Macaca mulatta: one gene and its partners. The protein of the gene in region 2 interacts with the protein of the main gene of each other region in a biochemical or structural test. Links are inferred from orthologs where the notes say so. Each region holds a gene or a part of one and is shown on either strand. Other genes may lie near its edges. The genes, in order: CSE1L, KPNA2 and KPNB1.

Region 1 (3,653 bases), on a different chromosome or scaffold from region 2:
CTCTACTAAAAATACAAAAAATTAGCCAGTGTGGTTACATGCACCTGTAATTCTAGCTACTCGGGAGGCTGAGGCACAAGAATTGCTTGAACCCGGGAGGCAGAGGTTGCAGCAAGCTGAGATCTTGCCAATGCATTCCAGCCTGGATGATGTCTCAAATAAAAAAAAAGAAAAGAAAAGAAAAGAAAAAGAACACTTCAAAACACAAATTGCTTATGTATAAAATATAAAATAAGACTATATTGTCCAGACATGGTGGCTCACACCTGTTTCCCAGCACTCTGGGAGGCGGAGGTGTAAGGATCGCATGAAGTCAGGAATTGGAGACTACCCTGGCCAATATGGTAAAATCCTGTCTCTACAAAAAATACAAAAATTAGCCAGGTGTGGTGGTGCACACTTATAATCCCAGTTACTTGGGAGGCTGAGGCAGGAGAGTCACTTGAACTCAGGAGGTGGAGGTTGCAGTGAGCTGAGATCGCGCCATTGCACTCCAGCTTGGTGACAAAGCGAGACTCTGTCTCAAAAAAGTAAAAACGTAAAATAAGACTATACTAATAGACAATAAACTTTCCAAAATTAAAGAACAGCTAAGTTAAGCATATTTTATACAGCAGATCTCAGCTAAGGTAACAAGTGGGGCATAATCAATTTTCTGGTCTATAAGAAACTTAAGTGCTCAATACATCAACATAAAGCCATCTTCAGAGATTATATAAATCTTAAATCAGAATTAATAGGTTATCTGGCAGAGTAGGCTCTATTATCAGAGACGTTATTTCTTTTTGACTTGTGTGGGTGTCACTGATGTCTGTTTTAGAAACAAAACCACATTAAAAATATTTACCTTCTGTGTTTGGGCTTTTGATGCCAAAGATGTCACTAGGTAGATGGCTGCATCTTTGTGTTTCCAGTTGACAGATGGATTTTTTGCATATTCCTGCAGCATGGAATTAACATAACCAGAGAAGATTCCTGTCACGGGTCCCTCAAAAAACTTGCATAATCCTCGTACCAGATCACAAGCAGCCCTGCGTCTAGTATCAATATCTATGAAATGAAAAGAAAATATATTATGGGGAAAAAAAACAACTAACAACAAACTGACCCAATTTATAAGAAAACAAATTGCCTGGAATAATTTGGCTATGATTGTAGAAAGAAAAAAAAAAGAACAAAACACAAACGGCCACCCAATAGCTATCAGCAACACAAACAATGAAAAAAAAATCCCCCAAGAAATACGAAATCAAAATGAAACTAAAGAGGTCACAGAATCACAGAATTTTGATAAATACTAACTATGTAAGAATAGACAAATGATTCAACTTTTGATACTTTCATGCAGGTCACATATAAGAGCTTTTTAAGACAAGCTGAAGAAGGACAACAGTTCTCAACGAAAGCCAGCTGAAAAAACACTTATGCTCAATCCCACTTCTCCCATTTACTAGAAAGAGAACCACCTTAAAACTGGCTTGCTAAAAGACTAGTAACTAAAAAACCAAGATACACACCAGATCCTTCCAAATCTCTCCTTATGTACTCCTCAGAATTATCTTCAAATGCTTCTTCATCAGCAGCTACAGAGAGAGATATTTCAGATAACACTCCAAAAGACGTCACTGTACTTTACAGCTGAGAATGCAGAAGAGTATGTAGAACTGCCTTGTTCTACAGCAAAGAATTCTTTCCTATCAGATGACTACTTCACATACTCTTAATCATTATCTAGAGCAGCAAATGCTACCCTGAAAGGTGAGGTATTAGGTAATTCACACAACTGTGAGACAGGCTCACTTGTTCTAATGTGACAATTTCCCCAGAATTGGATTACACCTGCAACTGTCAAAAATGTTAGGGATCAATATCAGAATGCCAGCTTTAAATTTCACCAAATAAGATTAAAAAACCAACAACCTAATTTTAATCACTATTATTTCATTAAAGTCATTTCAACAACAAATAAGTAGAGTGGACAATGTCAGATCTGGCCGGCATGGTGGCTCGTGCGTGTAACCCAGCACTTTTGGAGGCTGAAATGGGAAGATCGCTTGAGGCCAGGAGTTTGAGACCAGCCTGGTCAACACAGCGAGATCTCATCTCTATTTTTATCATATAAATTAAAAAAAAAAAAAAAATCTATCCACACACACACACACACTTTGGAGATGGGGTCTCACTCTGTCACCTAGGCTGGAGTGCAGTTGTGTGATCATGTCTCACTGCAGCCTCCACCTCCTGGGCTCAAGCAAAACTCCCACCTAAGCCGCTTGAGTACCTGGGACCACAGGCACATGCCACTATACCCAACTAATTTATTTCTTGTAGAGATAAGGTTTTGCCATTTTGGCCTGGGCTCAAGTGTTCCTCCCACCTCAGCCTCCCAAAGTGCTGGGATTAAAGGTATGGGCCACCACACCCAGCCAGAAGATTTATCCTTTAAACATATTTTTATGAAAACACAACAGGAAATAAAATCTCATGCTATATTGTCCTTAATTTCCTTATTTTGTTCTAGACATAATTTGAGAACCACTGATCTAATAACTATTTTGATATAAAACACAATCCTGGCCAGGCATGGTGGCTCATGCCTGTAATCCCAGCACCATACTCAGCACTCCAGCCTGGGTGACAGAGCAAGACCCCTGCCTCAAATAAATAAATACACAAAGCCAGCTAAAAATTCAGTGAAACAATAAATGAAACAAAATCAAATTCTTTCGCTAAACAGAGATTCCAGGTAGCTTATCGTCTTAATGTAAAGGAATTTTTGAAGTCTTATTTAATATTTCCATGAGAAAACCTTCACATGGCACAAGAAAACTCATTACAGATACTACATCTTCTGTCTTGGTTTAGAAAATAAGAAATAAATGATATACAAGTTTTATTCAGTAATAAATTAATTAGACTGAATATATTACAAATAACAAAGACTTAGTAAATTTATACTAATATACCTTTGCCGTAATTACCTCTAAATTCCATGTTAGGCACAATAACCTTTTCACAGATACTCGTCAGCGTGTTCTGGTCTTCAAATAGATTCTTATAATGAGGTCTCTCACAAACTGAAGCCAGAAATTGAATTGCATTACTTACCAACTGGAACAAAACACAAAAACAAGAATATTTTTAAAAGCAAAACTCAACAGCTTATTTCTTGGGAAGATAGGGAGAGAATGTCTTTTAATTATTTTTCTCCACCGTCATCTTACCAAATCATATTTAACCTCTTGACCCGTTGTAACTAGTAAATTCCAGATGGCTGTAACAAAACGAGGCAGGTATCGCTGGAATTCTTCATCGTACTTTTGTGCATAGAGTGCAGCATTATCACAAATCTGGGATTTTAAGAGCTCCAATAAGCCGGCTTCCTCTTCATCCTCACATAAAAGAAAACAAAAACTCCAACATACAACTCTAATGCTAACATAAGTAAGAGGAGTAACTGAAATTCCTGAACTAGACTCATTATCAATTAAATCCAAATCAAATCAGTTATTGTAAACTACAGCTATGTCACCATCAATCTTTTCACCAAGTCTTTCAAATAAGTTGCTGAATTACAAAATATTTCCGTATTAGATTCAAACAGTATATTCTGGCCTAGTGTAGTGGTTCACGCTGGTAATCCCGGCCCTCTG
Region 2 (3,653 bases):
GCTACTTGGGAGGCTGAGGCAAGAGAATGGTGTGAACCTGGGAGGTGGAGCTTGCAGTGAGCTGAGATCCGGCCACTGCACTCCAGCCTGGGCAACAGAGCGAGACTCCGTCTCAAAAAGAAAAATGTGCTTAACCACAACTATCAGGGAGAACAAATTCAGTTAACAATGGGAATCTAACCCTGTCAGAACGTCAAAAGTTTTTTTAAAAAGTGACAAGATTTGTAGATTTCTGCAGGGATGGAGAGGAGGGTAATCTACATTAATTTTTGGAAAAATGGTAGTTAATGATACCGCATATATAGCACCATATAGGTAATCTGTTCAGCTTCTCTTAGATTCCAGAATGTCTCAGCATTTAGTGATTTACTTAAAAGGTTGTCTGAAGTTCTAAACTGTTGAATTGCATTTTAAATTGGTTTTTACACAAACTCCTTTTGTTAACCACTTTCAACTTTTATTTCTCTTTTTGTTCCCCTTTAGGAAACTACTTTCTAGAGAAAAACAGCCCCCCATAGACAGCATAATCCGGGCTGGTTTGATTCCAAAATTTGTGTCCTTCTTGGGCAGAACTGATTGTAGTCCCATTCAGTTTGAGTCTGCTTGGGCACTCACTAACATTGCTTCTGGGACATCAGAACAGACCAAGGCTGTGGTAGATGGAGGTGCCATCCCAGCATTCATCTCTCTGTTGGCATCTCCCCATGCTCACATCAGTGAACAAGCCGTCTGGGCTCTAGGAAACATTGCAGGTACTTGGACTTGAAGTTCTTTTGACTGAATGTATCTAAGCGTAATGAGTTCAAAGAAAGGCCTTATAAATAGTAACGACTTCGTCAAGTTTTGAGCTTGCTTTCAAGCCGTTATTAGGAATGAAAGTGTCGTCTTTACAAAGGCAGCAGAGGGGCATCTAAGTACGTTTGGGAGTTTTTGCTGGTGCATCAGTCACTGAACATTGGTGGTGTTGGACAAGATAATAAAATTAATCTTGCTTTTTTTTTCAGGTGACGGCTCAGTGTTCCGAGACTTGGTTATTAAGTATGGTGCAGTTGACCCACTGTTGGCTCTCCTTGCGGTTCCTGATATGTCATCTTTAGCAGTAAGTTACTAACATGAATAAAGTTACTCACTTCTTCATTCTAATTTCCCCCATCTTCTCAAAAGACAGAACCTCTCATTGCCTATTTTTTTCCCCCTAGTGTGGCTACTTACGTAATCTTACCTGGACACTTTCAAATCTTTGCCGCAACAAGAATCCTGCACCCCCAATAGATGCTGTTGAGCAGATTCTTCCTACCTTAGTTCGGCTCCTGCATCATGATGATCCAGAAGTATTAGCAGATACCTGCTGGGCTATTTCCTACCTTACTGACGGTCCGAATGAACGAATTGACATGGTCGTGAAAACAGGAGTTGTGCCCCAACTTGTGAAGCTTCTAGGAGCTTCTGAATTGCCAATTGTGGTAAGTTATTTACTTGTAGATTAGGACATAAGTATAAAAAGCATGATCAGGGCTGGGTATGGTGGCTCACGCCTGTATAATCCCAGCACTTTGGGAGACCAAGGCGGGTGGATCCCCTGAGGTCAGGAGTTAGAGACCAGCCTGGCCAACATGATGAAAGCCCATCTCTACTAAAAATACAAAGAAATTATCTGGATGTGGTGGCACGCGTCTGTAATCCCAACTACTTGGGAGGCTAAGGCAGGAGAATTGCTTGAATCCGGGAGGCAGAGGCTGCAGTGAGTCGAGATCGTGCCATTGCACTCCAGTCTGGGTGACAAGAGCAAGACTCCTGTCTCTCAAAAAAAAAAAGCATTATCAGTTGATACTAATATTGAAATATTACCTATTTCATACCCATGATGGGCCTCTTGTTAAAACTTTTAGGGTACAGAATTTCTGAAGTGCTGGGAAAAAACCAGCATCAACATTTTTTTTTTTTTTCAGACTCCTGCCCTAAGAGCCATAGGGAATATTGTCACTGGTACAGATGAACAGACTCAGGTTGTAATTGATGCAGGAGCGCTCGCTGTCTTTCCCAGCCTGCTCACCAACCCCAAAACTAACATTCAGAAGGAAGCTACATGGACAATGTCAAACATCACAGCTGGCCGTCAGGACCAGATACAGCAAGTTGTGAATCATGGATTAGTCCCATTCCTTGTCAGTGTTCTCTCTAAGGTAATGAAGTCTTAGGATTTAATCAAGTCATTTTTAGTATTTATAGAAAGCTCTGCTTGATAAGCTTCTTCACGTGCAAGAATCTTGGGTTCTACTTGGAGTCCTTTGCTGAAAAATACCCAGTAACCCCTTTCACTTACAGTTGGATAGAACCTTGGTACTTTGAGTCATTGTTTTTGTGAAAAAGTACTCCTGGAAACTTATTCTTGCAACTTTCTGAAATAAAACCATTTCCTTATGTTTAATAGGCAGATTTTAAGACACAAAAGGAAGCTGTATGGGCCGTGACCAACTACACTAGTGGTGGAACAGTTGAGCAGATTGTGTACCTTGTTCACTGTGGCATAATAGAACCGTTGATGAACCTCTTAACTGCAAAAGATACCAAGATTATTCTGGTTATCTTGGATGCCATTTCAAATATCTTTCAGGTAAGACCTATCAAGGTGGCTTTGTTTGAATTTGAACTTGATAATAATCAGTTTACTATTTAGACCTGGGGGAGGGCAACTGTTGTAAGTTTAGTCACTAGTAAGCCACAGATTCAGACAGCCTGTTTAGGTGGGCCACACCTTTGATTAAAAATGTGGCAGGCATTATCAAAGATGAAAGAGATGACAAGTGGATGATGGGACCTGAATCGAAGTCGGGCGTTTATGTGAACTCATCACATCTGTTTACTTACTTGATTTAATGTCCCAATTTCATACTGAATTTTGGTGAAATTAAATTTGAATGACTTGGCCAGTCATGGTGTCTCATGCCTGTATCACAGCACTTTGAGAGTCCAAGGTAGGTGGATCACCTGAGGTCAAGAGTCCGAGACCAGCCTGGCCAACATGGTGAAACCCCGTCTCTGCTAAAAATACAAAAATTAGCCATGTGTGGTGGCAGGCACCTATAATCCCAGCTACTTGGGAGGCTGAGGCAGGAGAATCGCTTGAACCCTGGGCCAGGGGTGGAGGTTGCAGTGAGCCAAGATCATGTCACTTCACTCCAGCCTGGCCGGAAGAGTGAAACTATCTCAGAAAAAAAAAATTTGAATAACTTATATTTTTCTTCTGGTTGTATCCCTAATTGATCCAAGCATACCAGCATATGGCACTTTGTCATAGTGATTGGTGGTAGGTAAGTCCTACTCATCAACTTTAGATTCTAGAGATTTTTACATATAGAAGTTGAGTCTACAGGCTGGGCACAGTGGCTCACACCTGTAATCCCAGCATTTTGGGAGGCTGAGGTGGGCAGAGCACGAGGTCAGGAGTTTGAGACCAGCCTGGCCAACATAGTGAAACCCCGTCTCTACTAAAAATACAAAAAATTAGCCGGGTGTGGTGGCAGGCGCCTGTAATTCCAGCTACTTAGGAGGCTGAGGCAGGAGAAACGCTTGAACCCGGGAAGCGGAAGTCACAGTGAGCTGAGTTTGCGTCATTGCACTCCATCTTGGGCAACAAGAGTGAAACTCTTGTC
Region 3 (3,653 bases), about 15 Mb from region 2:
CTCATTGTATGCCTTTAGTATACAGAGCTTGGTTGCTTTTGTCTAGAATTTGCTTTGTTTCTCCTCAGGCAGCAGAACAAGGACGGCCCCCTGAGCACACCAGCAAGTTTTATGCCAAGGGAGCACTACAGTATCTGGTTCCAATCCTCACACAGACACTAACGAAACAGGTGAGTTACCTTCCAAATATAGGTAGGTAAGCTGTGAAACCTTACTAAGAGTAAACTGTTTGCTGTGGAACAGTTTCCATGGAAGGAACTTGGCAACCCATCAACTATTTGATGTTCTGTTGTTGATGGCTCAGGAACAGCTAAGCTGGATCTAGAAGATCCCCTAGGCTCTGACTTCTTTGTGAAGGAGAACTAGGTCTTAACATCTCAGATGCATCTTGCTCAGGAGTGAGCCACATGCTGCTCTGATTTCCTGAGTGCTCCATTGTCCAAACTCATAGAAGAGAGGTGCTCTATCAACGCTTCAGTGAAGCAAGGTTGGGAGCAAAGATATGCTGGTTTTAGGCCACTTGCCTATCTGTTCTAATGTCTAGGATACTTTTGTGAGTTCACAGGGTATATGCTTTTAAAATGCTAAAGAAGTTGGATATGAGTTATTCAGATCCTAATGAAGGACCCCAACCCAAGAAAGAAAGCCTTCTACTAATCCTTTAAGATGATTAACTTGAATTATTAAGATTCAGACTGAAAGTGAAGTGACAAGACTTCATAAAGATTGGGGTCTAATGAGTAAATATAGAAGTTCTTTTATGAGGACCGTGTCCTGGTTGCTTTTGTTCTCCCGACTTTATGCAACACAGTGTTTCTTGATACGGTGTTTGGGAAGGTTCTTTTGGTGCATGTGAAGTTATTACCAAAGAGCTGCTAGTACTCTGAGGAAACAATGCTGGTAACTGAGCACTGCATCATTTCTTTGTACACAGGAATGTAATTGTTTTTAGGGATGTGTATGATTCTCAATATAATAGTTTCAAAAGCTAAGTAGGGATGTGTTTGGATTAAAATGAACTGGATGTTCCCTTACATTTTAACCTCTCCTTTCAGGTTTTTTGTTTTTGTTTTTTTTTTCTTTTGTTTTGAGACGGAGTCATACTCTGTCGCCCAGGCTGGAGTGCAATGGCATGATCTCGGCTCACTGCACCCTCTGCCTCCCGGGTTCAAGCAGTGTTCCACCTCAGCCTCCCAAGTAGCTGGAAATACAGGTGCGCACCATCACAGCCAGCTAATTTTTGTATTTTCAGTAGAAGTGGGGTTTTGCCATGTTGGCCAGGCTGGTCTCGAACTCCTGACCTCAGGTGATCCGCCCGCCTCAGCCTCCCAAAGTGCTGGGATTACAGGCATGAGCCACTGCGCCTCGCCTATTGTTGCTATTTTTATCTTTTGACTTTGTGTCTTGTCTTTTGTGTGTGTGTGTGTGTGTGTGTGTGTATATATATATTTTATATTTATTTGTTTGTTTATTTCTTAGACGGAGTCTCACTCTGTCGCCAGGCTGGAGTGCAGTGGTGCGACCTCGGCTCACTGCAACCTCTGCTTCCTGGGTTCAAGCGATTCTCCTGCCTCAGCCTCCTGAGTAGCTGGGACTACAGGCATGCACCACTACGCCCAGCTAATTTTTGTATTTTTAGTAGAGATGGGGTTTCACCATGTTGACCAGGATGATCTCGATCTCTTGACCTTGTGATCCGCCCACCTTGGCCTCCCAAAGTGCTGGGATTACAGGTGTGAGCCACCACACCCGGCCTACTTTCTTATATTTTTACTGTGCTTTTCCTCTTTGAGAACAAATTATTCTTTGTGTGATTTTCTGAAACTGCGTAGGCAACCTGCCTTAAGTTACTATGTGGTGTGAATGGCCACAATTAGGAAGCTATACCTTGGATTTTAACTTAAGAGGAGATATTAGTGGAATCTTTTCTTTTTTGAACTTTTGTGTTTTTGTTTTTTGTCTTTTTTGGGGGGTGGGGGGTACAGAGTCTCACTCTGTCATCCAGGCTGGAGTGTGGTGGGGCAGTCTTGGCTCACTACAACCTTCATCTCCCAGGTTCATGTGATTATCTTGCCTCAGCCTCTCGAGTAGCTGGGATTAACAGGCATGTGCCACTATACCCAGCTAATCTTTGTATTTTTAGTAGAGGCCAGGTTTCACCATGTTGACCAGGCTGGTCTCGAAGTCCTGACCTCAAGTGATCTGCCTGCCTTGGCCTCCTAAAGTGCTGGGATTACAGGCATGAGCCACTGCGCCTTGCCTCTTTTTTGAACTTTTGATTGAATCATGTCTTCTTTCCAGTCATGAAACTCCCTCACTTTCCTGGTCTGTTATTCCATAAGTTAATTTTTGTTGATTTTGGACGTTATTTATTCTTTTTATTTATTTATTTTTTCTGAGACAGTCTCACTCTGTTACACAGGCTGGAGTACAGTGGTGTAATCTCGGCTCACTGCAACCTCCGCCTTCCAAGTTTAAGCAATTTTCCTGCCTTGGCTTCCTGAGTAGCTGGGACTACAGGAACGTGCCACCACACCTGGCTAAGTTTGGTATTTTTAGTAGAGACGGGGTTTCACCACCTTGACCAGGCTGGTCTCAAACTCCTGACCTCAGGTGATCCACCTGTCTTAGCTTCCCAAAGTACTGGGATTACAGGCGTGAGCCACCACGCCCGGCCAATTTTGTACTTTATATAACTGGAATCATACAGCATACACTCTAGTTCTGCATTTTGTTCTAAATGTTTGGGATTCATTCTTTTTGGATGTAGTTGAAATTTTTTCATTCTTGTTGTTTAGTACTAAATGGAATCTTCTTCCTTCTGAATCTTGTTTAACAAAGACTATGCTGTGAGGAATGTTTGTGGAAGAGATAAAATATAAAGGTCTTATATTTTATTTCCCTGAAGTTTAAGTTCTAAAGACATTCAAGTAGTCAGAGGACCTTTAGAGTTAAAATGATTCTTTGGACAAAATCTTAACTAGTGCCATATTCTTTCACCAGGACGAAAATGATGATGACGATGACTGGAACCCCTGCAAAGCAGCAGGGGTGTGCCTCATGCTTCTGGCCACCTGCTGTGAAGATGACATTGTCCCACATGTCCTCCCGTTCATTAAAGAACACATCAAGAACCCAGATTGGCGGTACCGGGATGCAGCAGTGATGGCTTTTGGTTGTATCTTGGAAGGACCAGAGCCCAGTCAGCTCAAACCACTAGTTATACAGGTGAAGCTGAGGGATTTTTGGAGTAGAAAGTAGAATATTTATTGTTTAAACTTAAAGCATATCTTTATTTTTCAAAACAAAACTGTAAATTGTCATCTACAAAGATTATTTATAGATACCTATTTACTTTTAATGAGAGTAAAATGTATTTCTTAGGTTTCTAATTAGTCAGCATGATCCAGAGACTTTCGAAAAAAGCCAAAAGAGAAGTCACCTTTAATTTCATTGCCCAGAAATAACCGCTCTTAACTCTGTATTTATCCTTGAAGCTTTTTCCTGTGTAAATGTGTGTGCAACAGGCGCTTTCTGTGCAGATTGTTTTATAACTTGTTTCTTCATTTAATACTATGTTGTAAACATTTCCCGATAATTTTTTTTTGCACCTAGCACTGATTCCCCATAATTTTAAATAATGGCATTATTAT

What was found.
Region 1: the proteins of KPNA2 (region 2) and CSE1L form a complex in vitro, tested with the Homo sapiens proteins (2 studies listed by BioGRID). The link is inferred for Macaca mulatta from reciprocal best matches to the Homo sapiens genes KPNA2 and CSE1L.
Region 3: the proteins of KPNA2 (region 2) and KPNB1 form a complex in vitro, tested with the Homo sapiens proteins (6 studies listed by BioGRID and IntAct, with this or other methods). The link is inferred for Macaca mulatta from reciprocal best matches to the Homo sapiens genes KPNA2 and KPNB1.

The regions. Positions count from the first base shown.
Region 1 is NC_133415.1:101,888,605-101,892,257, reverse strand, and holds part of CSE1L (exportin-2), read right to left. Parts: intron 3,393-3,653; coding exon 3,225-3,392; intron 3,112-3,224; coding exon 2,982-3,111; intron 1,584-2,981; coding exon 1,518-1,583; intron 1,051-1,517; coding exon 848-1,050; intron 1-847. UniProt on the Homo sapiens protein: Export receptor for importin-alpha. Mediates importin-alpha re-export from the nucleus to the cytoplasm after import substrates (cargos) have been released into the nucleoplasm.
Region 2 is NC_133421.1:77,794,083-77,797,735, forward strand, and holds part of KPNA2 (importin subunit alpha-1), read left to right. Parts: intron 1-483; coding exon 484-752; intron 753-1,004; coding exon 1,005-1,099; intron 1,100-1,199; coding exon 1,200-1,463; intron 1,464-1,949; coding exon 1,950-2,183; intron 2,184-2,431; coding exon 2,432-2,614; intron 2,615-3,653.
Region 3 is NC_133421.1:62,364,390-62,368,042, reverse strand, and holds part of KPNB1 (importin subunit beta-1), read left to right. Parts: intron 1-68; coding exon 69-170; intron 171-3,003; coding exon 3,004-3,228; intron 3,229-3,653.